4 linked regions of the Saccharomyces cerevisiae S288C genome follow. Changing the gene in region 3 together with the main gene of any one other region gives a genetic interaction. Each region holds a gene or a part of one and is shown on either strand. Other genes may lie near its edges.

Region 1 (7,606 bases), on a different chromosome or scaffold from region 3:
GGAGAGAGCTTTTGGGCTCGAAAAAGACGAAAAAAATAAAACCAAAAACTCGAAATAGAAAGTCTAAGAGAGGTGACAAGGTTAAGGTGGAGGAAGTGATAGATTTGAAGAGTGAATTTGAGGAAGATGACAGCAGAAATACAACAGCTGCTGAGTTATTACATAATCCGGATGACACTACAGTTGACAATCGTCCAATAATCTCCAATGCTAAGTTTTTGGCTGACGCAGCAATGAAAAAGACACAGAAATTTTCCAAAAAGGTGAAGAATGAACCTGCATCAAGTCAAATGGATATATTTTCTCAGCTGTCACGTGCGAAAAAAAAGTCAAAATTAAACAACGGTGAAATCATAGTCATCGATTAGTAGCACTTTCATGCCTGACTACGTCAACTATTGGAGGCGGTTTATAATTTTTATTTAAAGCACATAGGAGTTAATTTTATTTTACTGGTAGGGTTTGTATACGAACTACATGGAAATGTGGATGGTGTGTTATTATAGCTTAATGAATATTCTTTTTCTATACAAGAAAACCGATATGACAGCTATGAATGAGCAGTATGCCAACAAAACCAGGAATGATTTTAAGGGTGAAGAATCTATCGTGACCATAGACATATTGACTAAACCAGTAGAGACATTTGCCAACAAAAATAAAAACAACCCATTGGAGTTGATTGATTCCAAGCATTCGGCAACTTTATAATATTCCGAAGAATTACCGAAAATTTTGTCAGTCAAGCAGTACCCAGTCAAAAATAGTAAATTATAAGTAATGACCCACAAAGTATATGGTAAGTTAGCAAACCTTCTTGAAACACTATAAGGATGGTATTGAAAAACCAACTGGCTGATAACAAGAAAAATTGTACTCCATATACAGAGGCCACTTAATGGGGTTACTGAAGTCCAATAGTCCCAAGTCGAAGACTTCTTTGATGCTGCAACTACGTCTTGCGTAGAAGGCTTATAAAGATTGTTTAAAGTTGGTTTATTTCCCAACAAGTAAAATCCCGTGTTTTGGCCCCAAAGAAAAATCGAGCAATAACCTAGAAATGAGAAGATGCCTTCTCTATTAGCACTGAAGAAACAATTTCTATCAGCCAAAATTAAAAAGTTTAAAGTGCGATCGTCCTTTAAAAGTAGCCATTCATAAATGCATGAAATGAATATTGCAATTGAGCAGCGTGGAACCATTCTTGTGACGGGATCAATAAAGGTCAATACAAGTGGCAACAATGATAGGGTGATAAAAAAATTCCAATGAACCCCATATTCTGTGACATGTTCTTGATATTCCAAATTTTTTACAAAAAACAACCTCAGCAATCCTAGGAACAATAGAGTTCCTCCTGATTTTAAGGCATTAAATGCATTTTTTAAGAAGCTGGGTTTACTCTTCAAGCTTAGGTTTTTCAACAGTGCCCTAGAAGAAACAATACCGTTACTGAAAACGAATGATCCTACACCAAGATCCATCAGGGATGTCCCCCAAGTTTCCACCTTGGCAAACCTCCTTGGGAAAATTGGAAAATCTACAGCCAAGATGGCAATAGCAGTCAGAATAAGCATCCCACCACGATACGCAGTAATATACGGCTTTTTTTCTAGTTGGAACCGCTGTGTAATCATTTTTTTTTTATTGTATATTGGATTAGAAGGTTTACTCGAGCTAGTAAATTTTCCATATATGAATGCGAGCAAACAAGGTAACAGTATTAGCGTGTTTAGAAGGTATGGTTCACTAGCATAAATAGTAATAGATAGAAGCAAAGCAACCCAGTTCAATGCAAAATCAATTATGTATTGCACGCTGGAAATGCCAGGAGGCATAAGGTTGGAATTTTTCAATAAGTTCCATGATATGTAAGTTACCAAAGCAATTGATGTCACTGCGTTAATTTCTGTTATAGAACCGCCATTGAGCCCTGTCACAAAGTCCTCTTTTCTCTGTTTTAAAGTCGACATATTCTTCTGATGTACTGTTGCCATTTATTTAGATATTTACGTGTCTTCTTATTGCGATCCTCTTTTTCTCATGCTGTTTTTTCACGCGAGCATGTCATGGAAAGTATTATCATACAAAACGGTAATACATATAGATGAGTAGATTTGAATAATGCTGTAGATGGCGTATGTAAATGAATATCTTATAAAATTACGGACTACATTTCAAGAATCTAATTCCTTTGTCTGATTTCTTGTCTGTCGTCTCATAGGTTTTTCTAAAGAGGCAGTACGTTTCTTATCTTGAATGGAGCCATAGGTAACTTGAGTATGTGAAACTTCCTCAGTTCTTGGGATCTCTTCTGGATTAGAAATTGCAGTCGGCTGCTCTGTAGGCACATTTTCTGACATTATTGTGCCCCAACTCGTGGTTCGTTTAATTTGTTTAGGAACGAAATTTTTTGGCAGTGACTCCAACTTGATCCTTTTCGTATCCGGCATTTGTCTCTCTGAAGAAACATCCATGATACTCGATGAGACACTACGCTTTTTTCTTCCAGAATCAGTTTCTCTAATTTTCTGCAATAATTCGTTTTTGGTATCTTTCATAGAGTGCTCCGATAATGAGGAATTGTTTCTTTTCAAAAGAATAGTTTTGTCGATTTTTGGATCATTGTTTTGGTACTTTTTTTCTGAACTAATGCTGGTATAGTATGGTTTTTTTATCTTACATTTAAAATCGTCCTTGTGTCCTCTTGGGCAGATAATACACCACTTGATATTGTTTAAAAAGATTTCATTATTTTCTCCAGATGCAGCGGACAATAATTTAAAAATAAATGCTGGAGTAACTACCGGTATGGAGTGGAATTTCTTGATATATTCAATTTTCCTTTTCATCGAATTTCTCAAGATTGAATTATTTTGAAAATCTTTTCTGTTATTATCACCAGGATCATCATTATTGTTATTAATGCAAAACTGAGTAAAAAGATCGCTAAATTCATTCGACCATAACGGATGGGTTTTCGGGATACTGGGTAAAGCTGCTAAGTTGATTAGCAGAATGTCAGTGGATTTATTGAGGTATTCTACATAATTGATGCCCATTGGTTTTAGAAGATTTAATACTTTAGTCAGATGTAACAGCTCTACGCCAGAGAATCCAGTGATAGTAACATTCAGAAAAGGGGAAGAAGAAAATTCATGATGCAATAACTTTGAAGAAGACGAAACTTGAAACTCTATTGTGCTGAGGAAGGGTTTTGACCATAAATCTATTGGGTGTAGTAATTTTTGATAATACAAGCAGCGTTCAATGAAAAATTCTGTAACTATACCATCATTATCATCTATAATCTCAGGTAAATCATTGAAGGAGTCAAGAGCTTTATTACTTGGAATGATGTAATAAGAATGATCGTAAATGCCGCTCAAGTAAGACGTCTCAATTTTACCCCCATTTTGAACAACAATTTTGGTTAGTATTGAACGGTGATTGCCAGGAAAAATATGATGAATGATAAACGCACAATTTTTGAAAATCAAAGTACTATTATCACTTAAATCTTCTTGTTTGTTATTTATCGATAATGGTGACTGCCCTAGTACTGAAAAATTTGTCTTACTATGCTGCTGTAGAGACATTGCCTTGTCCCATATTTTTTCACCCTTTGGTTTAAATTTATTCAAGAGGGATGATGTTTTCGGGAGCGAAGGAGTCAGGGTACTGGAGGATTGCTGCCGCTGCAGAGAGGATTGGGCATCGATATTGGTTGGAAAGGTGGTGTTTATTTTATCCCAGCAATCGCAAGAGTTTGATCCGATTGAATCATAGGGCAGGTCTTTAATATTTGGTAAAAGATAATAGGGATCGTACGGTAACAGTGCGCTTCTTTTTTGGCAATCGAGAATCCATTTGAAATGTACAATAGGTATATTTTGTTCAATAGCAGCGTTAACTCTTGCTCCTAGTAAAGTATCCGTAACAAAAATGGATATCTGCCCATTCTGACCTTGATCATCGTCATCATTGTGTGAAGAGGTATCTTTGATTACAAAGTTTTGATAGTTATAACTAGAACACCCTAACTTTTTAATACTCCTAACCAATGAATCGATGGAAGTTATGTTAGTGTCGGTTATTCTGCCAATGAAGATATTGAAGTTATGCAAATATTTAAACGAAAATCGCCGGTAAAGTATCTTCAGCATCTCATAGGTGGATCCTGTCATTGTTGCCGTATTAGAGTCCGGCAATATATTTTCTCCAGACAGCCAGAGCTGATAAATGTCATCAATGGCTTGAATGTCAATAAATATGATATCGAATCTATGCTTCACCGCAAATTTAAATTTGTTTGTATTGGTGGTGGACCCAACAACAAGGACATTAACTTGTCTGGTCAAATCTTTAGAAAATATACCTCCTAACTTAATAATTTTCTTTGATATTTTTTTAGCTAAGATTTCATTATTTATTGCAGTCGGACAAAATGTTATTCCTTGAAAGGGCTTCATAGTAATATTAATGCTACTGATAAAATACCTGCCATACTAGAAATAGAAGACTTATATATCACGTAAAATTTGTCTCTTCTTATTCATCATGTACATAAAACAGTACAAACATTACCAATAGTACTATATAGCTTTACCAGGCAATACGCGAATAGTCCATGCAGTTTTTCTTCTCTTATACTGATGAGGGTAAGTTTTGCATTTGATCACCGCCGTATGCGAAGCGGAAAGAGCAAATGCGTTGAAAGAAACCTGGCGACAATAGGAACCACGAGTTCAAGCTAATAATGATACCTCAATGATTATGCCCAGATTACGTTATGTGACTAAAGTAGAAAGGTGAATAAATATAAGTAACGAAACAAGGTTACATGGACTCTTCAATTAAAGAAGGAAAAGGAAGGATTCTTTTGCAGGCAGAAAACATTGAAGTTATATCGCAACAATAACGATGTAGTTATTATGACCTCATAATATGAGAACTTTTTCCTCAAGTATTTTTAAGTTATTCTGTGTGTCATGACTCTCACTTCGTCATATTTTATGTTAGTGCACAAAATGCGAGGTGTGGGTGCAATCAAGACTCCGATCCATTTTCGCCGTTCGACCGGTGTTTTGGCGGCTAAATTTAAGGGCGTGATCTCAGAACTCGGCGGCAAAAAAAAAAGTATATAAGGCAGAAAGCTTTCTGCCTCTCCGATTTCCTCTCCTTTGTTTTCTTTTCCGCTTCAATTTACAATCTAGTTCAGCGGCTAATCCTCTTTACCATTGTTTTCCGTTTATCCTTTGCTCATTCTCCTTTGCTCGATTTCTTTTGCTCGTTTTTTTTTTTTTTTTTTGCTTCTTTTTTTCTTCTCGCTACTCTGAATAGACGATGGCCAAGAGGAAATATGGCAGGTCTTATTCCCTCGATGATACAGATTCCTGCAGCAATAAAGTCCTGATAGTACCAACCGGTCAAAGCTCCTCTAACGCAATCACTGATTTCTCTGTCAGAAAGGCGCATGCTTGCGATAGATGCAGACTGAAAAAAATCAAGTGTGACGGTTTAAAACCGAACTGTTCAAACTGTGCGAAAATTGACTTCCCTTGCAAAACCTCGGATAAACTGTCGAGGAGAGGTCTTCCAAAGGGGTATACAGAACTACTAGAAAAAGAGGTCGTCCGTTTGACAAATATGAATGCGAGTTCCAGCGCCAATGCAAATTCTAATTTGCCGTTCATTAATGATACATTTTATTGTTTTGATAATTACAACACTCAGTCTGAAAATCAAAGGTTTTTGGGACATTTGACATGGAATATTCTAACTAATACTTTTCCTACTCAAAAAGCAGTAGTTTTTACAGACGATCGAAATAATATTGATCTACAACTGCAACTGTTAACAAATTTTTTGAACCTGAATGGTGACTTTAATCATCTCCCAAATTTTCTTTTACTTAAATATGATTATAACCTTCAGTTTTTGAAAAATTTGTTGTCTGTCATTATTAAAGATTTTTTTAAAAGGCAAAATTCTTTGCTACTTCTATTATACCCTACAAATTTATGGAAAAATTTGCTATTAGACAAGATTAATTCAACCGCAATGACAGGTGAACCCATAACTCTACTGGCGTTACTTTATATTATTCAATTTACTTGGTCTTGTTTTGATGATTTCAAGCTTTTTAAAGTCACGAAGCTTATTGTTTCTCTGACAACAAACAGCAAATTAGACTTGAAAGTTTTGCAATTGGTTAACTTATCCATCTTTTATTTTATGGGCGCCTCTGTTGACTCTTGTAAAAGTAAAAGCTCGTTAACAGAACATTCAAATGTAAATTCAGTAATATGGACCAATGATTTGCTAAACCTAAACTTTACAAATATTTTGAATATGGGATTGTACATAAATCCCAAAAATTTAATTCCTATATCAGGCAACAATAATAATAATAAATCTAATGAAGAGGATGATAGAATAGTGACATTTTGGTGCTTTCAATTCTTAAGCTCATGGTGGTCCTTAATTCAAGGTTTACCAAAGTCCAACTTTTTAACTGAAGAATTTCAACCGAAATCAATCTCGGTTCTAGAAATCCCCAGGCTGAAGCCCTTTGAAATTTTGTTAAACTTCATCATATATTCTTTGGATGGATGTAATTTGTTGAATATCTCATCTTTAAATGTTTCGGACCCAAATTTCCAATTTTTCCAGAATGAACTGGAAAGCTTTAAAAAAAATTTATTACTGTGGAACCTTTATCACAATTTGAGTGATCACGATAACTTCCGATTCTTAACATCCAGTTCAAATAAAAAACTAACAACAAATTTACTACTTAAGAATTTGACGGGTCTAAATCACAAACTCAATCAACCTGATTTTGTGGAGATTCAATTAACTTTATTTTACTTGAGTTTAAAATTAATGACTTTAAAGGAAGGGGACCAAGATTTGAAGAAAGAGGATATCTCGTTAGAGATATTGTCCCTATATTTTTTAATTCTTACAGATGACTCTAATAATGATGATAATCAACAGTTACAACCACAGCAACTAAATCTCTACCATTTTACGCCCTTCAATAGTATTGACATTATTGACTTATGTTTAAACAATTTAAACAATTGGTCATTATCACTTAAATACGAAAGTGGTCAAAACCAGCCCCACTCAAGTAAAATAAAGTTTGAAAAATTTCAAAACTTTTTAAATCACTGGTGTCCAATATGGTACTATGATGAATTTTCCACAAACCCTTTTTTACAAATCCTCAAAATCAATTTCAAATTACTTCCTTTTGAGACAATCCATTACTCACAAGAAGAGCAACGATTGTTAATAAGTTTGAATAAATTGAGATATTTGGATGCCGTATCGAGCTTTAATTCAAGTTCAGTCAAGTCGAATTTCGCGTCTAAGGTCAATACCCAGCTAAACCTTTTGCAACACTCGAGTTCTAACTCCAATTTCCTAGATGCGTCACCATACGATTTTAATAAAATTTTTATGAACAACTTTGAAAACTATGACTACGAAACAGATGAAGGATATGCGGAAGATGATGATGAAGAGGATAGTGACAGTGACAATAGCTTACCACTAGAAATTCCTTTTAAAAAAAGTAAAAATAAATGCAAGAATA
Region 2 (9,753 bases), on a different chromosome or scaffold from region 3:
AGTCTTATCTGCCCCAAATTATATATACAAGTATAATTATCTCTCTCTATTTCTAGAATTTTCTTATATACTAAAGCTAAATTCTATGCCTTTTCGCAGCATGCAGAGGCGACCATATACCCCTCACACTACTGTTCAAGCTTTCCACGTTATCATTCTTTGTTCTTCTGCGTAAAATGTCTCCATCAGAATCCTTCAATAGCTTTAGCTTGTTTTCTACATTGTCAATGTTCAAGTTTCTCACACAAATAACTTTTTCACGCCCATTTGTGTATTCTGCCCTCAACAAAGGATGTCCAGACTTCCTCATCACTTCAAACTGTATCCATGGGAACTCCTGGCCCCATTTATCTAATCTCTTTGAAGTCAAAAATTTCCTCATGCCTTCCGAAGACCCTCCCCAGTTACAGAATTGCAAAGTAATCTTTCTGCATGGAAACACGAATGCTCCAACTCCATTACGACCTATGGAATTTCGTGCAATAGCTTTCACAACCATTTCTCCATATATTCGTGTCTGTGTATCTACTTAGTCATGGTTTATGATAATCGTATTGATTGATCTTTTTTATCTCAGGGCTTATGATTTGTTGTAATTCTTATGAGCATCCCTCATCCGAAAAAGACGGAAAGCACCGTAACGTATAGTGCGATAAACTTACAGAAAAGAATAGTATTATTTAAGGGAGTTAAATGGAGTTGTTTGATGATATAGGCAGATCAAACTACGCTTTACAGTCCAGTAAACTTAACAACGAAAAATGTGTTTAGTCAAAACTACGGCTCATTTGCTTTTTTATTCCTTTGTGTATGTACAGATTAAGACACAAGAAAAAATTTGAACAATTATGATTAATTGAGAATAACTGACTAACAACTTTTATGTACCAACTTAATCTTTCAGATTTGGAGGAACGACGTTTTATTCCTATGTAGCTTCTCCAATCGCATTCAAAGTTCTTGAAAAAGACCAATTTTCTGCTTTGCAAAATAAGATCTTCCCGTATTTTTTCCAAATGCAAGCGGCATCACCTGTCATCCTGGCCCTTACCGCTCCAATTGCCTTGACAACAGGACCATTATCTTCTTTGGTGGTTGCATCTGTCAGTGGGCTAACCAATTTGTTTTGGTTGTTGCCCTGGACCCATAAAGTTAAAGAACAAAGAAAGAATATTGCGAAGAAATACACGGGTAGTGAATTGGAAGCAAAGGATGCTATATTACGTAAAGAATTTGGCAAGTCGCACGGATTGAGTCTTTTGTTCAATCTTTCTAATGTTTGCGGGATGCTTGCGTACGGTGTTTGTTTGTCAGGTGGTTTGTTAAGAAAAATTCCAAAATAATTATTTTACAAGTAAATATATATATGCAAGATCATTTTTTCGTCATTCCTTTGCCAAGGTGGAGATGAAGTTCGCAATCGGAATTTTTTGACCCTCAATTAAAGAATAAGGGACTCAGTTCTCTGCTATCCTGATCTTGGCTAAAAATAACTAAAAGGGGAATTGTGCTGTTTGTAGGATCTTAAAATAAAAGAGAACAATATTTATCTTGAAGTTTTTTCTATTTTTTTATTTCTACAAGCTTTTCTTATATATAGACCTAGCAATCCTATATTATTAAGCCGGAAAATCGTAACGAATAAAAACGAATAAAGGAGATACTAGAAAGGGCCTACTTTTTAGCAATTTGAGCTTCTAAATAATTTTTTAATTCCTGTGCGAAAACTTGAGATCTCAATTTATCAATTTCACTTTCATCAACAACAAGATTCAATAAATCTTTGTATTGCTTTTCTAATTCAACTTCATTCTCTTTATGTAAAAAATCGTAATCACCTGTATCGAGATCCAAATCCACCAAATCACCATCTCCAAGTCCAAAAGATCCAGAGCTGGATGGCATAACCAAGGAGTTTATGTCACTCCAATTCTTTTGAAGTATGCCAGCAGCGTGTTTGTTATTTTGTTTAGTACCTTGTTTAACCTTCAAATCTAACAACTTCTTATAGATTTTTCTCGCACCAATCTTTTTATTAAGAACATTATTAACTTGAACTTTCAAAAGTTTGACATCAATATCGATATCATCTCTACAAATTAACTTATTGAAGTCGATCCTTTCACTCGGTCCTCCGAATTTACTCTTTTGCAAAAATTTCACTATCGTAGTAATCCAAGTAATAAAACCTTCAAAAATGCCCTCTGAATCGTTCAAATATACATCATGAATAAACTCAAAAAAGGCATCTTGATGTTTGGTTACTAAGTTATGGATTTCTTCCACGACATCGAACTGTGTGGAAACGCCCAACTGACCATTGATAACATCATCAACAAGCCTGATCAAATCACTCATGAACTTCTCAAAATTTTTCAAAGCAACATCCATCCTTGCAACTTTGAAGATCTTGACCATAGGTTCGTAAATCATAGTGACAATTGCCTTTAGCATTTGGGTTAACTCAGGATCTTGCCATAGCTGCCTCATTAGCTGTTTATCATGTTCTTTAATATACAATTGCCATAAATCTTTGACGTGTGTGAAATAAATACCTGACTGATCTTCGCTGGTTACATTCAAGGCATCCGTGTCTTCTTTTTGCAGTTTCCATGATGAATAGGATTCAATAAGTCCCGCGACAACCTCGTCTGGAATTAGATTTGCAGCTGCACTTTTCATTAATACTATCAATGGTACAGGCATGTTCATGGATTCGGATTCTGCATTTACTGCGTCCATAGTAAAGAGTTTAGTATCATGCTCATCCTTAGTATCATTATTAAAGACAAAATCCTTCAAGCATTTAGTCACAACTGAAGCGCCCGGGTCCATCTCAGCAATTTTCCTTTCTAATTCCTTTATAGCTACCTTTTGAGTTTTCAAATCATCTGTTAATATCGTAGAAAACATTGTTTGAAGGAGCGAATGACCACCGAAGGGTTGTGCCATAAATAATTCAATCATACCCCTCATGATCGCTATTGGATTAGTAAATTTCATGATCTGTCCCATTACTGTGTACGGCATAAGCTTATGTAACCGTCTTATTTGTGTATAGAGTTCATAACTGTTATCGTTACCCAGAAACATTTGATAAATCATTGAGGAAATATAAATCTTACACCATTCCACAAAGTCTTGTAAAAGTGGTGACAGGTCTTCAACTTTCGTATTGTCCTTGATTTCTACTAGTAGACTCATCAAGTATTTTTCATCTTTTAACAGGGATGTTTTGAAATCTTTCATTGAGTCTTGCAGCTTTAAAGACTTTTCTAACGCCATCTGTTGGAAACGTATTTGGTTCTCCAAATTACTTACATCTATCAGAGCCCTGTTTCTAATGTCATCTGCTATTTTCGGATTTATGTCCTTAATATCTAAATTAGGCCCACTTAGGAAGAAGCGACGAATAGATGAGCTTTGAGAAACCTCTGCATCTTTACACAAAGTCCTTAAATATTGTCTTAATGAAGTTCTCATTTTTTCACCCACCAAAGTATTGATTTTTGAATCGGATGCATCTTTATATTCATCAAAATCACTTTCTTCACCTTCACCTTCTTCCTCATACTCGTCCTCATCAATATTATCTTCTTCCTTGATCTCATTTAGAATATTTTTTCTCAACGTTTCAGTTTCTTTTTCTGTGAGTACTGTTTCTGTAGCAGATAATTCATTCGTTGTCTGTAAAAATGAAGAATTATCAGACTCTGATGCAGATTGTAAATCAGTGTCAAAAGTGTTGACGATTTTTTCCCTGGCTGCTGATTTAGTTTGCCCATTGTGTAACACTTCGGTTTTAGTTATCATAGACGTCACTTTTTTATTTCTATGAGGTAAGCGCGGACATTTCTTCCCCGGAAATTCTGATTTTAAATCATGAGATAGTTTTTTGAAGTCGCTGTATGTTCTTGTCACATAGAAATAACCAGCATGGTGATCAAGATTACTATTCTCTTCATTGCTGTTATCTTGGTCGTCGTCATCTTGCTTCTTAATCTTAATCAAGAAATAATGATGTTTTCTAGATTGCTTGCTCTTAGTTGAAGGCACGCCAAGGGATAATTTCGAAAATAAAGATGCTGAGGATTCGGGCATACTATTTATGGTACTGTTAATAGTGTTGTTGAAGGCATTCTTCATCCATTTAGAAGTGGAAGCAAATGATTTTATAGCATGGCTTTTGGGACTCGAAGTTGGAGTAGATTTACTAGACTTGTCATTATCCACACTTTCAGTACATTTCCGTGAATTCTTATTGAACACGGATATAATATTGACGTCCCAACCGTTAATAAAAACGGATTCGTTAGTGAGCAAATTCTCTAAATTTTCTCTAGTTGGCATTGCAAATTTCTCAATATTAGAGCGTTTTCTCGCTTGGCCTGACTGTAAAACGAATTTATCCTCATTATAATACGCTTGCTCTTGAAAAGAGCCAACACCGGAGTTAAAGAGCAACAAGATAACCTTTGATAGCTTTTTGGAAACTTTCTTCCTTTTTGAAGCTTCCTCCCTGTCATAACTTTCACTAAACCCAAGACTCATGAAATGTTCAAAGAACACTTGAACCTTACTCTGCCAGAATTTTTCATCAACTAGCAAATTTGTTGAAAGTAAAGGAAATGTGGATATAAATTCTTGCAAAACATAACTCAGCATGGGATAATTAACGCTAAAATGGCCTTTGCCACCGAGCACTGGTGATGAATCGTTATTGGAGATAGGCTGTGGAGCTGTCGGATCGTTTGGTGAGAAAGGATAACCGAACTTTCTCAAAGCAAACTGATCGTTAAGCTTTCCAATTTCATAATCCAATTGACATCGAAGCAGTTCCCTCTTCAGGTAGTGTTCTTCCGTTGGATTTAAAGCAGGAGTGTCTTGAGTAATCATTTGAAGACTGTCTATTTTTGATTCTTTAGTACAATTATCTTCAACCACTGATTTCAGTACACAATTCCGACCACAAGGTAAGGTTCGTTTTTCTTTTTTTATAGAGCCCAATGCACAGTAATTGGATGTAGCTCTTAAAAAAGAATGAAAGCTAGAAAGTGATCAATTATTCGAAAAACACTTTAATACGTTCCTTGTTCACGCCTAAAAAGTTAACTGTCAAATGGTTAACGTACATTTATCTGTCTTATGAGAGGCGAAACAGGCGTAAGCATTAAAAACCCAAGGCCATCTCGTCCTTTTTCTTGTTTTTGGCGTAAAGGAGATGTTGAAAATATTAGGAAAAGTGATATAGGGAACGAAAAGAAAATAGACGCTAAGTTCAACAGGCTTCAGTATAATCTATATTACAAGCCTCTCTCGCACCACAAGGCCGGTTTATTGTACAAAGAACTCTTCTTCAGAAGCTGCTTCTCTTATACTACCTGCTCATTAGACTTTCAGGGTAAAAGGCACCAAGTGGAAAGAAAGGCAGTAGATATAGTACTTTGAATTCTTTTGACATCGCAAGGTTACTCGCATCCACTCCCTATTATTTACTCTGTTTCAACTCATTGTAACTTCATTTTCGCTAACTTCCCGCCAGACCAGCTCTTCAATCCACACTTGCCAGATAATGAATCAGTCTATTTCTTCGTTGATTAAGCTTAAATTCCTTCAATCACACAGTAACGATAAAAATGGCAACAAAAAGGGCGGAAGCAATGTTTCAACAGGCATAGATAAATTAAGAGAGTCGGAAAGTTATAGAAGTCCTTTTCTTCAACTCGCAGAAATACAGGAACACACTAATAATGACGACGATAAACTTGATGTAAAAGAATGCGAGCCCACAAAAAAACACAGCAAACTAAGCAGGATACGGCGTAAGATGGGTAGGTTAGACTTGAATTTCAGGTCAGCCAATGAAAAGGGTTCTGAAGATGATGAAATCTTGGTTGCACAACACCTCCGTAATGGACAAGATCCTGAAGAAATGCCTTTCAAATCAGAAAACAACATAGATTCGATAGAGAAAGTTCCCAAGCCCGATGGTGAGAGAGTCACGCTTACTAGCTCCGGGTCTGATAACGTAAAGAGAAATTCAAAACACGCCCCATTCATTCCTGTGAAACCTGCTCTAGAAAAATTTCCTTCTTCTAATAGATTGTCAAGAGATTACAGAAAATCACAAGAGCCTACCCTGTTTAACGGTGATAGATTAGTTCCTACTCTTCCTACTGTGAGTAGGATATCGACATCTTCTTCCGTCGGTTCCTCTACAGCGGCTTCAAGATATTTCAATCCGTCCAAAAGAGCTGTTGTTGCATCATCATCATCATCGTCGTCGTCAATAAAATTCAATTCGCTGCACGCAATACCACTTGATGCAACTCCTCAAATTGAATTGGCAAAACAACAAGATGAGATCTCCAAAAGGAGGTTCGGAAGAAGGCGCAGTAGAACTGTTGACGTATTTGACTATATTAACAAAAACAATACAGCAAAGAACAAACCGCCACTCTCTCCATCTTCTTTTATTAGGACTATTGACGAGAAAAATACAAATTCTCTTATGCAAGACCCCATGGGATCCCGCGGACCTCTTTTGCCCGATGATGCCAATATTATAAGCAATGATACAGATGGAGCGGAAGCAAGTCACCCAGACCATCAGGTTTTATCAAGGTCTCGATCTCAAAGTACGTCTTTTGTTCAAGGCAAGGGCGGCAAGAGAAAATCAATTGAAGATGAAGGCTACCATAACAAATTGGGCCTACCTCATGGATCAGGCCCTACTTCAGTTTACAACAATAAAAGCAATGCCAATTCAACTATTACTGGAATGTCAAGAAGAAGTAGCTCAATTGTGAATGCTTTAAGTAGTTTTGTTAACCTTCGCTCCTCCAGTTTATCATCCTCTAGGCAACAGCACCTTCAACAACAACAGCAGCTACAACAAAAACTGGATGTCTCGCTGGAAGATCTACCACCGGTTCCCGCGCCTGAATTTAGTGATTCTTGTAAGGACTTCTTGATTAAATTAGCGCCCTACGGAAAGTTCATTGGGATCATTTTAACGGAAAAAGATGATGAGTTCAAAAAAAATTGTTTAAACTACCTATTAACGAATTGCTTCGAATTTAAAAATGACCCTTTAGATATTGCCCTGAGGAAATTGTTGATGTTTTTAGAGCTTCCAAAGGAGACGCAGCAAATTGATAGATTGATAATGGCTTTTAGCTTTGCATACTATAAGGCCCAAAAGAGCTATTCTAAGAAAAAAGGAATTGAGTGCCCCTGGTCTAATGCAGACCAGGTGTATTTTATTGCATTTTCCTTACTAATGTTGCACACTGATTACTTTAACCCCAACAATAAAAGCAAAATGACAAAGCATGATTTCGTGGATTTAGTCCATAATGACAAATACTCAGGAGGTAATGAGATCCCTATGGCCGTTTTGACATATTTTTATGAGAATGTGACAGCCAAAGAGTCGCCGAAATTTAATTACTTTTTGATGTCACCAATGGCGTTGGACGATAGCATCCTTGATAAAGATGCATTTGACACAAATTTTGCTATCACATTATCTTCGAATTCGATGTATTCTCCCATAGACATGATAAAAAGGGGGAGTATAATACCCAAGGAAGCTTCCCTTTCCCCAATCTTTTATCCGCTAACGAATTCAATTAGTGCATCTGGTATTGCCCCATCTACGGCGGCTTCTTGCCCACCAAGTACGTCGGGTACTATAAACGGGGCCAACCTCGGAACGGCTAACAGTAATAGCAATAGACCGGCTTCTAACTCAATATCGTCTTATTTTTCATATAATCCAAGCTCTAGTTCTAGCGGAAATGCTACGTTAGTTCAAGATGACATTAACGTTTATTCGCACATTATAAATGATACATTAAATGAAGTAAATCTATTTCCAGAAGTCTCAAAATATTGGAATAAGAATGCTCTGAAGGCAAATTTGTTGAGAAATGAAGAACATAAATACGAAAAATATTATAGTATTATGAATGATACTAAAGGTGGGTATTTACGCTTTCACAAAAGTCAATTGAATAAACTGAATTTACCTAATTTTGAAATATTGAATGATAATAGCCGGTCTGGATGCAAGAACTCCGATTATAAGTATTGCAAAATCCTTCAAATGGGAGCAATAATGAATTTGGGGATGCCCAGTAGAAAATTTTCTATTGTTAACTCCGCTAAAATTCATTGGAAAAAGGAATTTGCCATATTAACATCATTGGGGCTTTTGATCTGCGATAAAATGGACTGGATAAATCCACAGATGATGAAGGACCCAAAATCAGGAACTACAAACTATATAATTGATTTTAAATCAGGATTTTCTTTTGTTCCGGGAAGTACGATTGACGTGTATAACGGTTTATTTGCTGATAGGGAGCGAGATTCACTTGGGAAATCTCATTTCGCAAGTTTGGTACTTGCGTATACAGAGCATCATTCTACTGGGAGTCATACAAGCAACACAACTGCAGCAAGTAGCTCCGCCAAACACAATGAAGGAGTCTTCGAGCCATCTTCAGATGAAGAGGATAGCATAACGAATTCTACTGATGGTACGAGCAGTGTGAGTAACGGCGAGAGTGACAACGATAGTGTTTCTAGTTCAGATAATCAACTCAGTTCAAATGACAGTAATGAAGATTATCATTCCATTAAGGACGAGTATCCGATTTTCGAAGACGAAAATGCCGATTGTCTATTATACTTACATACATGTCATCGAAATTTTATCTGGAAATGTGCTAATAAGTATGAAAGGGACAACTGGATCGATTCTATCAATCTATTTTCAGCATATGACGGATGCTATGTGGAAATTGGTAGTATAGCAAACACTATTTGTAATAAGAGAAAGCTTACCATTTTGCAGAGGATGGAAAGACTTAGGTCTATAAAATCAGCCAAATGGGAGAAATTGAAAAAATTTGAAAGCACTCTGATGCTTATGGGAAAATGTGTTCCTATTAGCACAAAGACTAAGACAGATATGATAAACCGCATAAGACAGCTGGCTGTCAGAATGGACTGGTTAATCTACGAAATTAAGAGAAGCGAGCTGTTTGTAAGTATCATAAAAGAAGTGACTCGCAAGCAGGCTGAAAAGAATATCTTAGAGCATGGTAAAGGAGAAGAGGAGGGGCAAGGCAATAACGACGATAGTGATGGTATAGATGATATAGAGGAAAGCTTCTTATTCAACGAGAACAGTTTGCAAGTGTGCGTGAGCGACAGTAGTTACGACGAATATAGTAACGAATAAGGGGAAGAAAATAGTACCATGGGTTATAAATGCATGTTATTTATTTATATATTTTTACATATTCTATATGTATGTGTTATACCTTTTTCTTTTTCTCGAAATGTCTATCCAGTCTATTGCTGCCAAGGTTTAAGATCCTAGGACAGCCATCTTTATCTTTACCTAAGCGGCAGCACTCCCAACAATAGAATGCGTCATTGACTCCAACATTTAGATTACAAATTATACAATTTTTAGCTTGTTTACCAAACGAACAGTTTTCACATACTCTAACTTTCCTTTTGGGCCTTACATAAGAGTCGCAGATAGGACATTTGCCATCACATTTTTCACAAAGAAGACCTGTCTGTACACCAGGCTGCTTTAGGCACATTATTAGATCAAACTGATGGCGGGACATGTTTTTTTTGTTGGAGGCTTGTATGTGTGTGGATCTTTTTTGTATCCATCTTCATTTTCTATGTTGAATGCCTTAGTAAGTGAGAAATATGGCAAGTAAT
Region 3 (6,882 bases):
TGGATGGCACAATTAGTTAATAATATGACGGACGAAAGTATTGCACCTAACAGGAATATTAAAAAGAACCGGTAGTTCCTTTTTCCTATGCAATTATTGACCCATATGCAATGGTGGTCATGAACCATTACGCAGACGTTACATGTGGAACAGTGAGAAGACCGAGGTGGTCTCCATATCCTACATGATGGACAATACTTGATAGTAATGTCTTTTGAAATTGAAGAATGTGTTGGTAGTGTTATCAAGTTGTAATATTCTTGCGGGATCTGATAATTATTTCTTAGTTGACTTAAATGAATATTTCTCGGAAGAACGCCAGGATCACTAGTGGCTGTTCTGATAAAGGATGCTAGCGTTATGACCCAAAAATAATAGAAGAAAATGACCAGCACTTTATAACCATTTTGGGTATGCCACAATTTGTGAGCCTCAAATATGGAGAAGAGAACCATGGGACATACAATAGCAAGGAGAACACCTAACCACAACGGTTTGGCGCCCTTTACTGTCCTGAACCTGCCACCAAGGAAGAATATATAATTCGAGACATTCGGTAACGATATATAACCTTTTCCATCGTTTATATCCTGATCACCCTCCAAGGTAACAAGCCATCGGAAGAACAACTTCGTCAATGAACCTTCTCCTGTATGCTCTTCCTTTGTTATTGAGGTGCTTTCCGATCTTGTCGACCTTCTAGAGACCAAGGCCATTATCTTCCCCGTTTCTCTTCTTGTTACCTTACGCTTTCTTTCCTTTACATTTTTATATTTGCAAACTGTAATCTTGATAAGGCGCTGCTCGCCAATTTCCGAGTAGTTTGACAAAATAAACACAAACTGTTTATGTACAAGAAACTAGGAAAACCAAACAGAGAATCTCAAGCAGAGAAATAAGGTAATGAAAGTAGGTGGCATAGAAGACAGACAACTGGAAGCCTTAAAAAGGGCGGCACTGAAGGCGTGTGAACTCTCCTATAGCCCCTATTCTCACTTCCGTGTCGGTTGTTCCATATTAACAAATAACGATGTTATCTTCACTGGTGCTAATGTCGAGAATGCAAGCTACAGTAATTGTATATGTGCAGAACGATCTGCTATGATACAAGTTCTAATGGCAGGCCATCGCTCAGGATGGAAATGCATGGTCATTTGTGGCGATTCTGAGGACCAGTGTGTTTCCCCTTGCGGCGTTTGCAGGCAGTTTATCAATGAATTTGTGGTCAAGGACTTTCCAATAGTCATGCTTAATTCCACAGGTTCTCGTTCTAAAGTCATGACAATGGGAGAACTGCTGCCCATGGCTTTTGGTCCATCTCATTTAAACTAGCAGCAATCTTTATTTGGCTGCTCCCCGAAAAGAAAGCGAAAATTTTTTACTTATTTTTTTTTTTTTTCATTTTTCATATAAAGAAGAAAAACTGATATTATTATTATTCATCCCAAGAACGCTATTGTGTATATTCCTAGCAAGAAAAAAATAAGCAAAAAAATTGTATAATGAGCACTGCAACTACAACAGTTACTACCTCCGATCAGGCTTCTCATCCTACCAAGATATATTGCTCCGGTTTGCAATGTGGTAGAGAAACTTCGTCCCAAATGAAATGCCCTGTTTGTCTAAAACAAGGCATCGTTTCCATTTTCTGCGACACAAGCTGTTATGAAAACAACTACAAAGCTCACAAAGCTTTGCACAATGCTAAGGACGGCTTGGAAGGTGCTTATGATCCTTTCCCAAAATTCAAATATTCTGGTAAAGTGAAGGCTTCATATCCACTTACCCCAAGAAGGTATGTCCCTGAAGATATTCCTAAACCGGACTGGGCCGCTAATGGGCTACCAGTCAGTGAACAAAGAAATGATAGACTTAACAACATCCCTATATACAAGAAAGATCAAATTAAGAAGATTAGAAAGGCATGTATGTTGGGTAGAGAAGTTCTTGATATTGCCGCTGCCCATGTCAGACCAGGCATCACTACAGATGAATTAGATGAAATCGTCCACAATGAAACAATTAAGAGAGGTGCCTACCCTTCCCCTCTTAATTATTACAACTTTCCTAAATCGCTTTGTACCTCTGTCAATGAAGTTATTTGTCACGGTGTGCCCGATAAAACTGTCTTGAAGGAAGGTGATATTGTCAATTTAGATGTTTCCTTATACTACCAAGGTTATCATGCAGACTTGAATGAGACATATTATGTCGGCGAAAACATTTCTAAGGAAGCTCTTAATACTACTGAGACCTCAAGAGAATGTTTGAAACTAGCCATTAAAATGTGTAAGCCAGGTACCACCTTCCAAGAGTTAGGTGATCATATTGAAAAACACGCTACCGAAAATAAGTGCAGTGTAGTAAGAACTTATTGTGGACATGGTGTTGGTGAATTTTTCCATTGTTCCCCAAATATTCCCCACTACGCCAAGAATAGAACACCTGGTGTTATGAAACCAGGTATGGTTTTCACCATCGAACCTATGATTAATGAAGGTACTTGGAAGGATATGACCTGGCCTGATGACTGGACTTCTACCACCCAAGACGGTAAACTGAGTGCTCAATTTGAACATACACTGTTGGTTACCGAACATGGTGTTGAAATCCTAACAGCCAGGAATAAGAAATCACCAGGTGGCCCAAGACAGAGAATTAAATAGATCTAGGTATTTTTATCTTATACATATAGAAACCAATAAAAAACTTGAACTTGTACTTTCCCGAGTCCGAATTGGTTATTATGAGAAGCTATTTTTTTTTTTTACCTCTTTTTATATGAATCAAGCGTACATAATTTTCTCTATAACTATTCTTCGACATCTATTTGGTCGTTAGGCTCTTTCTGTTCTTGTCCTTCTGCCCATTGTGTTATATCATCGACATACGATAATATGGTTTCTATACTGTCAGGATTATTAGATTCCAAAGGTAAAAATTGAACCATACCGAAATCATCGACGAGGTTGGCTATGCACTGGTTCAGTCTTAGAAATTTAGGGTTGGATGCTTGATTCATTCCTTCCGTTTCCATTAATAACATTGCATCGGGATTCAAAAATCTTTTCAGTTTTTTCTTATTGATGTCGCCTTTTATCAAGTCTAGTTTGCTCAACACATTGATATGGGGTAGTTCCAATAGAATCATCGCAGACATAGCAGATAGTGCACCGCTAAAAAATTTTGAGCTATCTATCACAAATGGCGCTTCCAAAAGATATGTGGCGCAAAGGTTGAAATTCAGTTGTTGAGTTAAATGGCGCACTATGTTCGGTAAGACAGGGATATGCGTGTAGAGTTCAATTTGACCGGGACAGTCAAAGATTAAATATTCATCGTTGAAATCCCCGATCTCTTCGTCAAGCCAGTCTAGATTTTTCAAAAGATATTCGAAGCAATATATTAGCGCACCATTGGGGCCCAAATCCATTTCTTCCATGACATCATCTAAGGAAATTAAATCTCTAATGTCAATAGTAAATTCATACTTGGTAGCTTCTGCGGCAGGGTCTAAATTTACAATATGAGCTCTTCGTCCTACAGTTTGCATATGTGATATAATGGAATTACAAAATGTGCTTTTCCCCGCACCTGCAGGTCCTAATACCATGACACCAACGCGAGACATTTTCCAATGCTGATTACTCTATTTGTACTTGTTAAGTTTTTTTCACGATCAGGATGACTTGCCAACCTCTTAATTATTGATCTTTCTTTTTTGATCTTTCACCTCATCATTTTAGATTTTTTGCAAAATTTTTCTTAGTATTTTTTCAGTTTAGGGACAGCGGGCCAAATTGAATAGCCCTATGTGAACAATTGATGATTCAGAAACATCAATGGCATAAATCAAGCTGAGAAATTCTTGTCATTGCATAGAAGGAAGGTTTGGTGCGTCAGTGAACGGATGAAGCGCATCAAAAAGTAGATATTAGCTGTGATAAACGATGATTTGCATAACGTGCATGCGGCCCGTAGATTCCCTTTATACAGTGTACTCGAATGACCACATTCAGCTGACAGATTGTCCATATTGCCAAGAGACAGTAGACAAATATGTTGAGATAGATAATGTCCTGTTATTCATTGATTTGCTTCTATTAAAAGCAGGTGCATATAGACACTTGGTATTCAATGCTTTGGAATTGCATCTCTCAAAATATCCGAAAAGAAAAGCGCTAAATGATTGCCAGTGTTTGCGTGACTATACGCAAGCTTTGTTATTTAACGTAAAGAACTGGTTTTGTAAATATGACCGGTTAAATCGCCTTTGGCTTCTACTATTATCATTCGAGATTTATTTAACTTGGGTTACTGAGGAGAGTAAATACATCTACTATTTGAACCGTAACAATAATGATGGTAAGCTCATCATGCTTTCAAAAAAATTACCAGAGAGCTTCAAATGGGACTCGGCAATCATGCGCAATACCATTACAAGTAAAGTGTTTACCTGGAGCCCACCAATACAATATCTTTACTTTGCAAGTTATTGTATTCTTGACGTTTCTTTATTCCACACCTTTACCCAGTATTTCATACTGAAAAAGTTGCATTGGAAGCACTATTCCGTTTCTTCAAAGGATGTCATATCATATACGATCTTATTATCGTACGGTGCCAAAATTTTTCCGATATTGATGTTGATATGGCCTTATGATACTCTAATTTCGATGAGTATCATTAAGTGGGTAGCTAATCTCTATATTATTGAATCGTTGAAGATTGTAACTAATCTTTCCTATTGGAATATCATAAAGATTTTTATAAGTGTGTCTTTATTACGATATTTCATGGTTAAGCCAATACTTATAGTTTTCGTGGCAAAGTTTAACTTTTCAGTTATTAAGAATTTAATACATCAGGAGTTTATACTACTACTACAGAAGTCAGGAACTTATTTATTGTTATAAGCAAATAAAAAAATATCCAGTATTACTTGTATCAAAAATCTTATTTTGGCATTTTCACAACAAAATATATAAATATAGAAATAGCACCTTGGGATTTCAATCCAACATCGGACCCTCTAATTCACTCACAGCGTAAGGGTATGCATACGACTCTTCCTCATTGGCAGAATTCACCGTAGAATTGTCTCTTTCGTACTCGCGAATTGAACTCAATGCGATATATTTTGACAACGGCAAATAGTTCTTCTCGAAATCATATAGGAAACATAATGTCACTACTGGAAGCGGGAAAAGGCAAGATGACAAAACCCATCCTCCTTCGAATCCTGCCAGTGTTCCTGTCATTGTTAATTGAAACAATAGCAATCCAACGATGATTCTTCTAAAAATTAATGGCCATACTTTTCCTGTAGAATGGGGCAAATGATCTGTGGCAAAAATCAATTGATATTTATAGACGTAAAACCCAATAATAAAGTACGCCAGCCCTGAAGTCAAAATTTTCGTGCTCATTACACTGTAGATCAACGTTATAATCAAAATCAGAATTGGCTGTGGTAATTGTAGTCCAAAGTTAAATATCGGTGGATTGTAAAGTTCATTCCGTTGCCTAGGTGTCTTAGCCTTGATTTTCACTAGAGGAAAGCCGATCAAACTACCAACTAATAACAACTTAAACGGGAACATACCAATACCTTGCAATATAATCAAATCGACATAGAATAAGGAGAACTCCTTCACAGATGTAGCAAGTTGATAAGCAATTTTGGTGGTATCGCTGAGGTACGCCCAGTAATTAGATGCTGTACCTGCCAATGTGAAAACTAAGAAAAGGTTGACAAAAATATAAAAGAAATTTTTTGAAACAAGTGAGATTTCCTCTTCGCTGTATGATACCAATCCTTGATAAGAAGTCAAATACTCGTAAAAATAGGGGATTCCAAAGTTAAGCAATGTGAAGAGATAGGTTGGTAATAGCCCCGTTACAATGTTAGCGGCCCACTGGTGATCTTTTAGTAGCTGCCCTACGCTTGGCCAGAATTTCGAAAGTGTTTTCAAATTTAGCAATGTGGCTAAGTATGATACAGGAATGACTAAAAACAAACTTGAAAGGCCTATAAATACGGTAGTAGAATAAACTTTTGTTAACCGGTCCTTTCTAGAAAGACAAACATGATCCCACTTGATATCGTGAGGTGCAGGAGCCAATCTGGTTATGAAGTAATGTACTCTAGGATCTAATACCGCCTGAGCTGCCATTTGCGCATTAGCAACAGAATCCATCGTAACGAATGCCGTAGGTGTTGCGGAGTAGTGTTGTTTCCTCGCTTCAATAATTTCAGCATCAATAAATTTTAATTGCTGCTCCAGGTACTCTATGGCATCTACTTCCTTCCCAAAGATACCACGATATCCAATTTTCATTTTTGGTCTCTCTCCAAGAGAAATTTGAGAATATAGTATAGTATCCTCGTCATTATTATTGCTTGATGGAACATTTTCTCCATGTGTAACTGCGCCTGATTGCTCGTTTCCCAATAAATGATAGTTCTCCGAATATGGTTGTCGAGTACGGAGCTCCCTTGGACATTCTGAATATTTTAATTCCAGGTTTTTGAGTATTTTCTTCCGACAATGAAATAGCTTGTTCAAAGGACCCCACTCTCGACAAATAGTGATTGATGAAACGGTGCCGATTTTTAATTGTTCAATTCTGGTCTTTAAGGCTTCCGAATCACGAAGCTCTATCGGGATGCCTGAGAGCCTTATCGTTCTATCAGTAATCGTATTTTGCTTCCCAAGATAAGCTTGCCTAGTACTTACGACGTGCTTTGTTTCCGCAACTGCCATTTTAATTGCTATGAAGGTGAAGAAATATGTGAAGAGAACATACATCCAGAGGTACACATTTGTACGTTCGGGAGCTGAATGATTGTCACCATCGCCACTTCCCTCCACAATTCTT
Region 4 (8,180 bases), on a different chromosome or scaffold from region 3:
TAGTTTAATTCATTTGCACGGCGCTTTGCTGCTTTTGCTTCTTCACGTTGGTTTTCACTATGCCTGATATTTTTTGACGTCACTTAGTAAGCACGACCCTTGTCAATTTTTCGAGGATTTCGGAGCTTTCCATTTGGAATCTACTATTAAAATCAGTCTAAAAAAGTATAAGAAACACTTCTGGTTTTTCTCATGCGCTTCTCACTCTCAGTATATTTTGCTGCTTTCCTTCATATGTATATATATCTATTTACATATTAGTTTACAGAACTTTATGCTTTCTGCAACCAAACAAACATTTAGAAGTCTACAGATAAGAACTATGTCCACGAACACCAAGCATTACGATTACCTCGTCATCGGGGGTGGCTCAGGGGGTGTTGCTTCCGCAAGAAGAGCTGCATCTTATGGTGCGAAGACATTACTAGTTGAAGCTAAGGCTCTTGGTGGTACCTGTGTTAACGTGGGTTGTGTTCCGAAGAAAGTCATGTGGTATGCTTCTGACCTCGCTACTAGAGTATCCCATGCAAATGAATATGGATTATATCAGAATCTTCCATTAGATAAAGAGCATTTGACTTTTAATTGGCCAGAATTTAAGCAGAAAAGGGATGCTTATGTCCATAGGTTGAACGGTATATACCAGAAGAATTTAGAAAAAGAAAAAGTGGATGTTGTATTTGGATGGGCTAGATTCAATAAGGACGGTAATGTTGAAGTTCAGAAAAGGGATAATACTACTGAAGTTTACTCCGCTAACCATATTTTAGTTGCGACCGGTGGAAAGGCTATTTTCCCCGAAAACATTCCAGGTTTCGAATTAGGTACTGATTCTGATGGGTTCTTTAGATTGGAAGAACAACCTAAGAAAGTTGTTGTTGTTGGCGCTGGTTATATTGGTATTGAGCTAGCAGGTGTGTTCCATGGGCTGGGATCCGAAACGCACTTGGTAATTAGAGGTGAAACTGTCTTGAGAAAATTTGATGAATGCATCCAGAACACTATTACTGACCATTACGTAAAGGAAGGCATCAACGTTCATAAACTATCCAAAATTGTTAAGGTGGAGAAAAATGTAGAAACTGACAAACTGAAAATACATATGAATGACTCAAAGTCCATCGATGACGTTGACGAATTAATTTGGACAATTGGACGTAAATCCCATCTAGGTATGGGTTCAGAAAATGTAGGTATAAAGCTGAACTCTCATGACCAAATAATTGCTGATGAATATCAGAACACCAATGTTCCAAACATTTATTCTCTAGGTGACGTTGTTGGAAAAGTTGAATTGACACCTGTCGCTATTGCAGCGGGCAGAAAGCTGTCTAATAGACTGTTTGGTCCAGAGAAATTCCGTAATGACAAACTAGATTACGAGAACGTCCCCAGCGTAATTTTCTCACATCCTGAAGCCGGTTCCATTGGTATTTCTGAGAAGGAAGCCATTGAAAAGTACGGTAAGGAGAATATAAAGGTCTACAATTCCAAATTTACCGCCATGTACTATGCTATGTTGAGTGAGAAATCACCCACAAGATATAAAATTGTTTGTGCGGGACCAAATGAAAAGGTTGTCGGTCTGCACATTGTTGGTGATTCCTCTGCAGAAATCTTGCAAGGGTTCGGTGTTGCTATAAAGATGGGTGCCACTAAGGCTGATTTCGATAATTGTGTTGCTATTCATCCGACTAGCGCAGAAGAATTGGTTACTATGAGATGAAGCAACGAAACTAGACGTCCAATCTGCTGTTGCTATACTGGACTTTTGTACTCTTGTAAACAATCTTATATAGCATCCTGAAATACGTAGTAATTTTGTCATTTCTGTTCAAGGACAAGGGTTCCTTTTTTTTTCAGACTATTAGCTACTGTGGACTCGCTTGGATATTCAGTTGAGGATACATTCCGACTCTCGTTTACAATACATATGATTATTTTTCTTTTTGTTAATTATATAAAAAATAAAGTTATTTGATTTTAAGCTTAAAAATACACAAAATACAGAATAAGAAAGGAGTTTTTGAACAAAAGAATTTATCTTTTACTGCTTTCTAACTTTAAGCCTTCAAAGAAGAAGCTCTTCTCTTTCTGATTTCAGCCTTCTCAGCCTTTCTTTCAGACAATCTCTTAGCCAACAATTGAGCGTATTCGGCAGCAGCTTCTCTTTGAGCTTGAGCGTTTCTGACCTTCAAAGCTCTTTGGTGTCTCTTTCTTTGCAATCTTTGAGGAGTAACCAATCTTTGGATCTTTGGAGCCTTGGTGTAAGTCTTTTCACCCTTGGTGACTTCTCTTCTGATGACGAAATCACGAACGTCATCTTCCTTGGACAAACCGAAGAACTTTCTGATGTTGTTAGCTCTCTTTGGACCCAATCTCTTTGGAACAGTAGTGTCAGTTAGACCTTCCAATTCTTGCTCACCCTTCTTGACAATGACCAAAGCCAAGACAGCCAAATCTGGACCAACAATGGCACCTCTGACGGACTTTCTCTTTCTTTCACCATCACGTCTTGGTCTGTAACAAGAAACGTTCTTGGTCAACAACAACTTGATTCTAGTTGGCAACAAAACACCTTGCTTCATTGGGAAACCTTGTTTGTCGTTACCACCAGAGATCTTGAAGACGTAACCCTTGAATTCGTCACCAACGGCTTCACCATCGACTTCTTGACCGATTCTCTTGTCGAAGAAAACACGAATACGGTGTTCATCATCAATTTCGAAGGTCTTTTGAGACCCGTTAACTGGGTAAGAAATGTTCAACTATTTTAAATTTTCAACAGGTTATTAAGAAAATTTGTTAGTATACTATTGCAAAATTAATGTTTGAATAGGGTGAAGTTTATTACTCTAGAGAAATTATTAAGTGGAAGATGAAAAAGCTTGTCTTTTATTGACTATACTCCAAGTATATGAACTGCTTCAATTTCACGGTTTGTAGTAACAGTATATGTAAACCCGCTCTGTTTGTTTAAAAATAACGCCACAAACGCATCAATTAGTATATGGTAGTCTTCCTGCTTCTTTCCATAAAAAATTTCTAAAATCTTTACGACGTCTGGTTCTGTTTAGTTCTTTCTCACTTTCAAACTTTCATGCCATTTTTCCACATATAAAGTTCTCTGTTGCCCCTCAATAATAGTATCATAAATCATACCTTCATGATGTATAGTCTGTCTTCACTCTTTTGTCACTTCTCTTAAGCAAATATAAAAATTCAATGACGAATAAGCATTAACCACTTTATCCTTGGTAACACTGTATATGAAATTTCAAAGAAACTGCAGCATCATGATGTTCCTAGACGTCGGTACTGGAATTCCCACCCAGTAGACTTACCTAGGTAGCGGCATTCCTCCAACGCTTACCAGGAGAGATAACTTTCCCGCTAGAATCGATAGAGGAGCGTGGAATTACGCCAATCTTCCAAGTGGGAACGGGCAGAGTGTCCAGTGGCTTCCTGCCTACAGAATGCACGGCCCCAGTGGGATTGGTGCAATCGCGCACGTTCCAACTTTCCGATGCTCCGGCGCGTCGATGACAATTTTACACATGAAAAACGAACTATGTAAAAATAGTTGAAATGTATGGGTTCAATGAGAACTCGAATGTACGGATGTTTTCTCTGAATGAACCTCTTGTCTTCTTCCGGCTTCTGCTTACATCAAACTCCAGGCCAGGCGGCAATTCATTTTAGTTGCTAATGCACAAAAGAGTACTTAAATACTATCATTATTCAGAAAATGCAATTGAGTTTTTCGTTTTTCTTCCTTGTTTGGGTTATTCACTACGTAAATATGTGCATTTACAATAATATAAATATAAATTTTTTAAATGAAAAGAAGTTTCTTATGCTTGGAATATTCATACTGGTCAAATTTTTTGGTTTATATTTTGCTTGAATTTTTTTCTCCTGAAATATCAGTCGAAAAATTAAAGAATTTAGTGCCTAGTGGTGTTTGAGCAGTATTTATGTATGGAGTCAGCCCGGTATTTCCATTATATGCGGTGGCAGCAGCATCATATGTACTTGAGTTGGACTGATTGTTCGAGTCACCATCGGTAGTATGTTCTGAAATAGCAGCTCCATTTACGGGTGCATCTTCATTATTACTATAGTAACTGTTATTGCTATTGTTACTGTTATTGTCGTTGCCGTTGTTGCTGTTGTTGTTGCTGCTGTTGTTGTTGTTATTGTTGTTGTTGTTGTTAGTGTTGTTAGTGCTGCTGATATTGCTGGAGTTGCCGTTGTTTACGGCCGTCTGTACGGGAGGGAAAGTACCAGGATTGTTTGTGTTTCCCGGCTTGGCACTGTTGGGTCCCATTGACCAGTCTGGAAACATCGATATAGAAGAAACATTTGGAGAATTACTCATCAAATCATGTACGAACTTCGATGGCAGTGAACCAGTTGGAGGGCCATTGCTGGTTTCAGGGCCGGAAAAAGTTGAAGGGGGGCGTCCGGTTAATGTTGTAGTTAATGGTACTGTTTGGCTCTGTTTTTTGAAAGACATTTGTTGGTATTGCTGGGTTTGTCTTTGAGCTAAAAAAGATGTATTTTGTTGGAAAGGTCCGCCAGGAATATTCGATGGTTGCAAGGGAGTGGCAATGTATGGCTGTGTTGCAGAAAAAAGAGGTGAAGACCCACTTCCGAAAGGATAAGGGTGATTGTTATTGTTACTGCCATTACCATTGTTAGAACCGTTAGGCGCATTTGCATTTGGCAATTTTATTACCATTCTGCCATTATTACCTTTTTGGAGAGTTAAGGGGCCTGAGGCAGATGCGGATAGTGGAGAAATTTTGCTAGACCTACTTGTTTTGTTTTCTTTCATTATCTGCGAAGAGCCCATACTATTGCCGTTGGCCGATGTGGAGGAGGCAGAGGAGGGTTCACTTGGAATAGCGGAATTACTGCTGAAATTGTTGTTCGGAATTCTCACACGAAGTACCGGTCTGGCGGACAATTTCCTTCTTGCTTTGACAGTCTGCTGAATAGAGTCTTCCAAAGAATTAGATGGTGACTGAGTGTAGTTGCTGTTGTCATTATTATTGCTGCCACTATTGTTAATTTTGTGCTCCTGTTTAGGGGTCCTTGAGGATGCATTTGTAAATGGCTTACTGAACTTGTTCGGTGAAATGGAAATGGGTGGAGGACGACCATTAAAGGAAGAGTTTTGAAAGCTTGGTAATTTTGGAAAATCCATCGTGGAAGGAGAAGATGAACTGGATGAAGGCTGGTTAAGATTGTACATGCTACTATGGTATGGTCTCGATATATTTTGCTGCTGTTGCTGTTGCGGAGTTCTACTTATTTGCAAAGGATCCGGTTTCAATCTTTTCAAATGTTGTAAAGGCGGCAGCGCGTTCTCAGGATGACGTTTATTTTGCTCACTACCATCCATCTTTGAAATGAGTGCGGTCGGGGATAACAACTTCATGTGTGCACTCGGTATATTTTTATCAGAGGCTTTTTTATTCGAATGCATATTTGAATTCCTCTCAAAATTGCCATGATCATCGTCGTCCTCATCATTGTTCTCATCATCATCATTTTCTGACTGGTTCATTCCTTTAACATTTGATTTCGAAGGCTTATTTGACATAGACGACCTGAGTAGGTCTTGATTTATGTTAACGGATGCACTTTTGTGAAAGTCTCCATAATCGGAAGGATCTTTCACTTCGTGAAGCAAGTTTTTGTCATTTTGGTAGTGATAGATTAAATCATTCGTATCCACAGAGGAAAACTCATAGAACGTGTTATTGGACCCCAGTATAATGACGGCTATGTCTACTTGACAAAGAACGGATAGTTCATGGGCCTTCTTAAAAAGGCCAGCTTTACGTTTTATAAACGTGACAGCCCTATTTCTGTCATCAGAAATTCTCTGGATTTCAATCTTCCGTCTACCCATGTTGTATCTATAGTATAGTTTTGCGACACTTTAATATTTAAGTTTTTTTCACGCTTCAGCCTGTTTGCTCCGGGGGATATTAACCTCACAACGTGATAGAAACCTTGAAAAAAAAAAAGAATAATTCTGCTTGCCAGCTTTCAATTACTTTAACGAGTCAAAAGTTGAGTTGGCTATCAGGAGTAGGCAGTTCTAATTGAATCAGTCGTTGAACACTTTAGAACAGGCTCGCTTCTTTCTTACGTTTCTTTTTGTCTGTCCTTTAATTATTATTGTTCAGAGGAAGATCGAGCTGTTTCTATTATTAGCTTTCATCTCTTCCGTTTTATTTTTATCAGAAATCTGAAGTAAATTTTTTTCTTTCTTTCTGCGGCTTGGCATTCATCACCCGGTGATGCTGCGCCGTTAAGAGAGCCCAATAATGATAAGACGATTTCTGCATTTAATATACGACTGAGACAGACTTCGTCACCGTGGAAGTATTTTTTGCGAACGTGGAAGTATTTCACCCACGTATGGCAGGCAAGAACGCATTTTCAATAACGTTATTTCCACGGAAAAATGTGATTAGTGTAGTAGGTTAGGAACGGGAGATAACTCGGCCGCTTGGTTTGAATTTGTTTCCCTTCGATTTTGTTTTCATTGCTTGAGTAAAAGAAGCTAAGCTAACATCTGCCTTATTCTTCTCAGCCTTTTCGTATATATATATATATATATATATATATTAGGACCCAGAGAACAAGGTATCATATATTAATTGTCTTGCCAACTATGTAATTTGGCTGTTACGGAAGACCCACATCAGGCGGCAGAAATGGTTTTAGTTAAGCAGGTAAGACTCGGTAACTCAGGTCTTAAGATATCACCGATAGTGATAGGATGTATGTCATACGGGTCCAAGAAATGGGCGGACTGGGTCATAGAGGACAAGACCCAAATTTTCAAGATTATGAAGCATTGTTACGATAAAGGTCTTCGTACTTTTGACACAGCAGATTTTTATTCTAATGGTTTGAGTGAAAGAATAATTAAGGAGTTTCTGGAGTACTACAGTATAAAGAGAGAAACGGTGGTGATTATGACCAAAATTTACTTCCCAGTTGATGAAACGCTTGATTTGCATCATAACTTCACTTTAAATGAATTTGAAGAATTGGACTTGTCCAACCAGCGGGGTTTATCCAGAAAGCATATAATTGCTGGTGTCGAGAACTCTGTGAAAAGACTGGGCACATATATAGACCTTTTACAAATTCACAGATTAGATCATGAAACGCCAATGAAAGAGATCATGAAGGCATTGAATGATGTTGTTGAAGCGGGCCACGTTAGATACATTGGGGCTTCGAGTATGTTGGCAACTGAATTTGCAGAACTGCAGTTCACAGCCGATAAATATGGCTGGTTTCAGTTCATTTCTTCGCAGTCTTACTACAATTTGCTCTATCGTGAAGATGAACGCGAATTGATTCCTTTTGCCAAAAGACACAATATTGGTTTACTTCCATGGTCTCCTAACGCACGAGGCATGTTGACTCGTCCTCTGAACCAAAGCACGGACAGGATTAAGAGTGATCCAACTTTCAAGTCGTTACATTTGGATAATCTCGAAGAAGAACAAAAGGAAATTATAAATCGTGTGGAAAAGGTGTCGAAGGACAAAAAAGTCTCGATGGCTATGCTCTCCATTGCATGGGTTTTGCATAAAGGATGTCACCCTATTGTGGGATTGAACACTACAGCAAGAGTAGACGAAGCGATTGCCGCACTACAAGTAACTCTAACAGAAGAAGAGATAAAGTACCTCGAGGAGCCCTACAAACCCCAGAGGCAAAGATGTTAAGTTAGATTTTCATGGGCCCACTGATATATAGAAGGCTAAATAACGAGAATCATATATACTGTAACATGACACCTGCTGATTTTTACTGATCGTAGCCATTCGGCTCATATTACTTCATGTCCCTTTTTTAAATCCCTCGTTCCCGGAGAGTGGCATAGCATGTCCGATAGCGTACGCCAACCTACAGAATCAGGGGATCAGATTTCCTGAAAGCAACTTATCCATCAGTTTCTTTTTATAATGCCATAATGACAGGTGTGCCTTTCTTATTTTACTTCGCTTGCTTTCTTTCTATTGCATGCTTCAATCTTTGAATATTTGCTAATAGTGAAAAAAAAAAAGGAAATAACTATCTGGTTTATCTGCATTGTTCTTCGTTTTTCAATTCAAGAATTTAAGCAAAAGGATATATCA

Evidence for each region.
Region 1: mutations in ARV1 (region 3) and GWT1 together harm fitness more than expected from each alone (negative genetic interaction), as found in Saccharomyces cerevisiae (4 studies listed by BioGRID, with this or other methods).
Region 2: mutations in ARV1 (region 3) and SYT1 together harm fitness more than expected from each alone (negative genetic interaction), as found in Saccharomyces cerevisiae (4 studies listed by BioGRID).
Region 4: mutations in ARV1 (region 3) and RLM1 together harm fitness more than expected from each alone (negative genetic interaction), as found in Saccharomyces cerevisiae (3 studies listed by BioGRID).

What each region holds. Positions count from the first base shown.
Region 1 is NC_001142.9:260,580-268,185, forward strand, and holds GWT1 (glucosaminyl-phosphotidylinositol O-acyltransferase), read right to left. Parts: upstream 1,974-7,606; coding exon 501-1,973; downstream 1-500. Other genes in the region: DNA helicase SRS2, read left to right, coding at 1-368; protein kinase activating protein DPB11, read right to left, coding at 2,178-4,472; SIP4 (Sip4p), read left to right, coding at 5,347-7,606. UniProt on the Saccharomyces cerevisiae protein: Probable acetyltransferase, which acetylates the inositol ring of phosphatidylinositol during biosynthesis of GPI-anchor.
Region 2 is NC_001148.4:720,537-730,289, reverse strand, and holds SYT1 (Arf family guanine nucleotide exchange factor SYT1), read left to right. Parts: upstream 1-5,572; coding exon 5,573-9,253; downstream 9,254-9,753. Other genes in the region: mitochondrial 54S ribosomal protein mL43 MRPL51, read right to left, coding at 77-499; YPR099C (uncharacterized protein), read left to right, coding at 177-533; TMH18 (Tmh18p), read left to right, coding at 762-808, 905-1,343; LEC1 (Lec1p), read right to left, coding at 1,675-4,896; YPR096C (uncharacterized protein), read left to right, coding at 5,146-5,448; U2 snRNP complex subunit RDS3, read right to left, coding at 9,330-9,653. UniProt on the Saccharomyces cerevisiae protein: Guanine nucleotide exchange factor for Arf GTPases, stimulating the nucleotide exchange from the GDP-bound to the GTP-bound form. Catalyzes both the GDP release by and the GTP binding to ARF2. Has no exchange activity on Rab GTPases.
Region 3 is NC_001144.5:620,952-627,833, reverse strand, and holds ARV1 (sterol homeostasis protein ARV1), read left to right. Parts: upstream 1-3,950; coding exon 3,951-4,916; downstream 4,917-6,882. Other genes in the region: palmitoyltransferase ERF2, read right to left, coding at 1-716; CDD1 (cytidine deaminase), read left to right, coding at 904-1,332; methionine aminopeptidase MAP1, read left to right, coding at 1,503-2,666; putative signal sequence-binding GTPase GPN3, read right to left, coding at 2,813-3,631; CSC1 (Csc1p), read right to left, coding at 5,013-6,882. UniProt on the Saccharomyces cerevisiae protein: Mediator of sterol homeostasis involved in sterol uptake, trafficking and distribution into membranes. Also regulates the sphingolipid metabolism. Required for growth during anaerobiosis and sterol uptake.
Region 4 is NC_001148.4:375,228-383,407, forward strand, and holds RLM1 (Rlm1p), read right to left. Parts: upstream 5,924-8,180; coding exon 3,893-5,923; downstream 1-3,892. Other genes in the region: glutathione-disulfide reductase GLR1, read left to right, coding at 275-1,726; 40S ribosomal protein eS6 RPS6A, read right to left, coding at 2,064-2,768, 3,163-3,168; YPL088W (aldo-keto reductase superfamily protein), read left to right, coding at 6,738-7,766. UniProt on the Saccharomyces cerevisiae protein: May function as a transcription factor downstream of MPK1 that is subject to activation by the MPK1 mitogen-activated protein kinase pathway. Binds to the DNA sequence 5'-CTA[TA](4)TAG-3'. At least some RML1 target genes are involved in cell wall biosynthesis.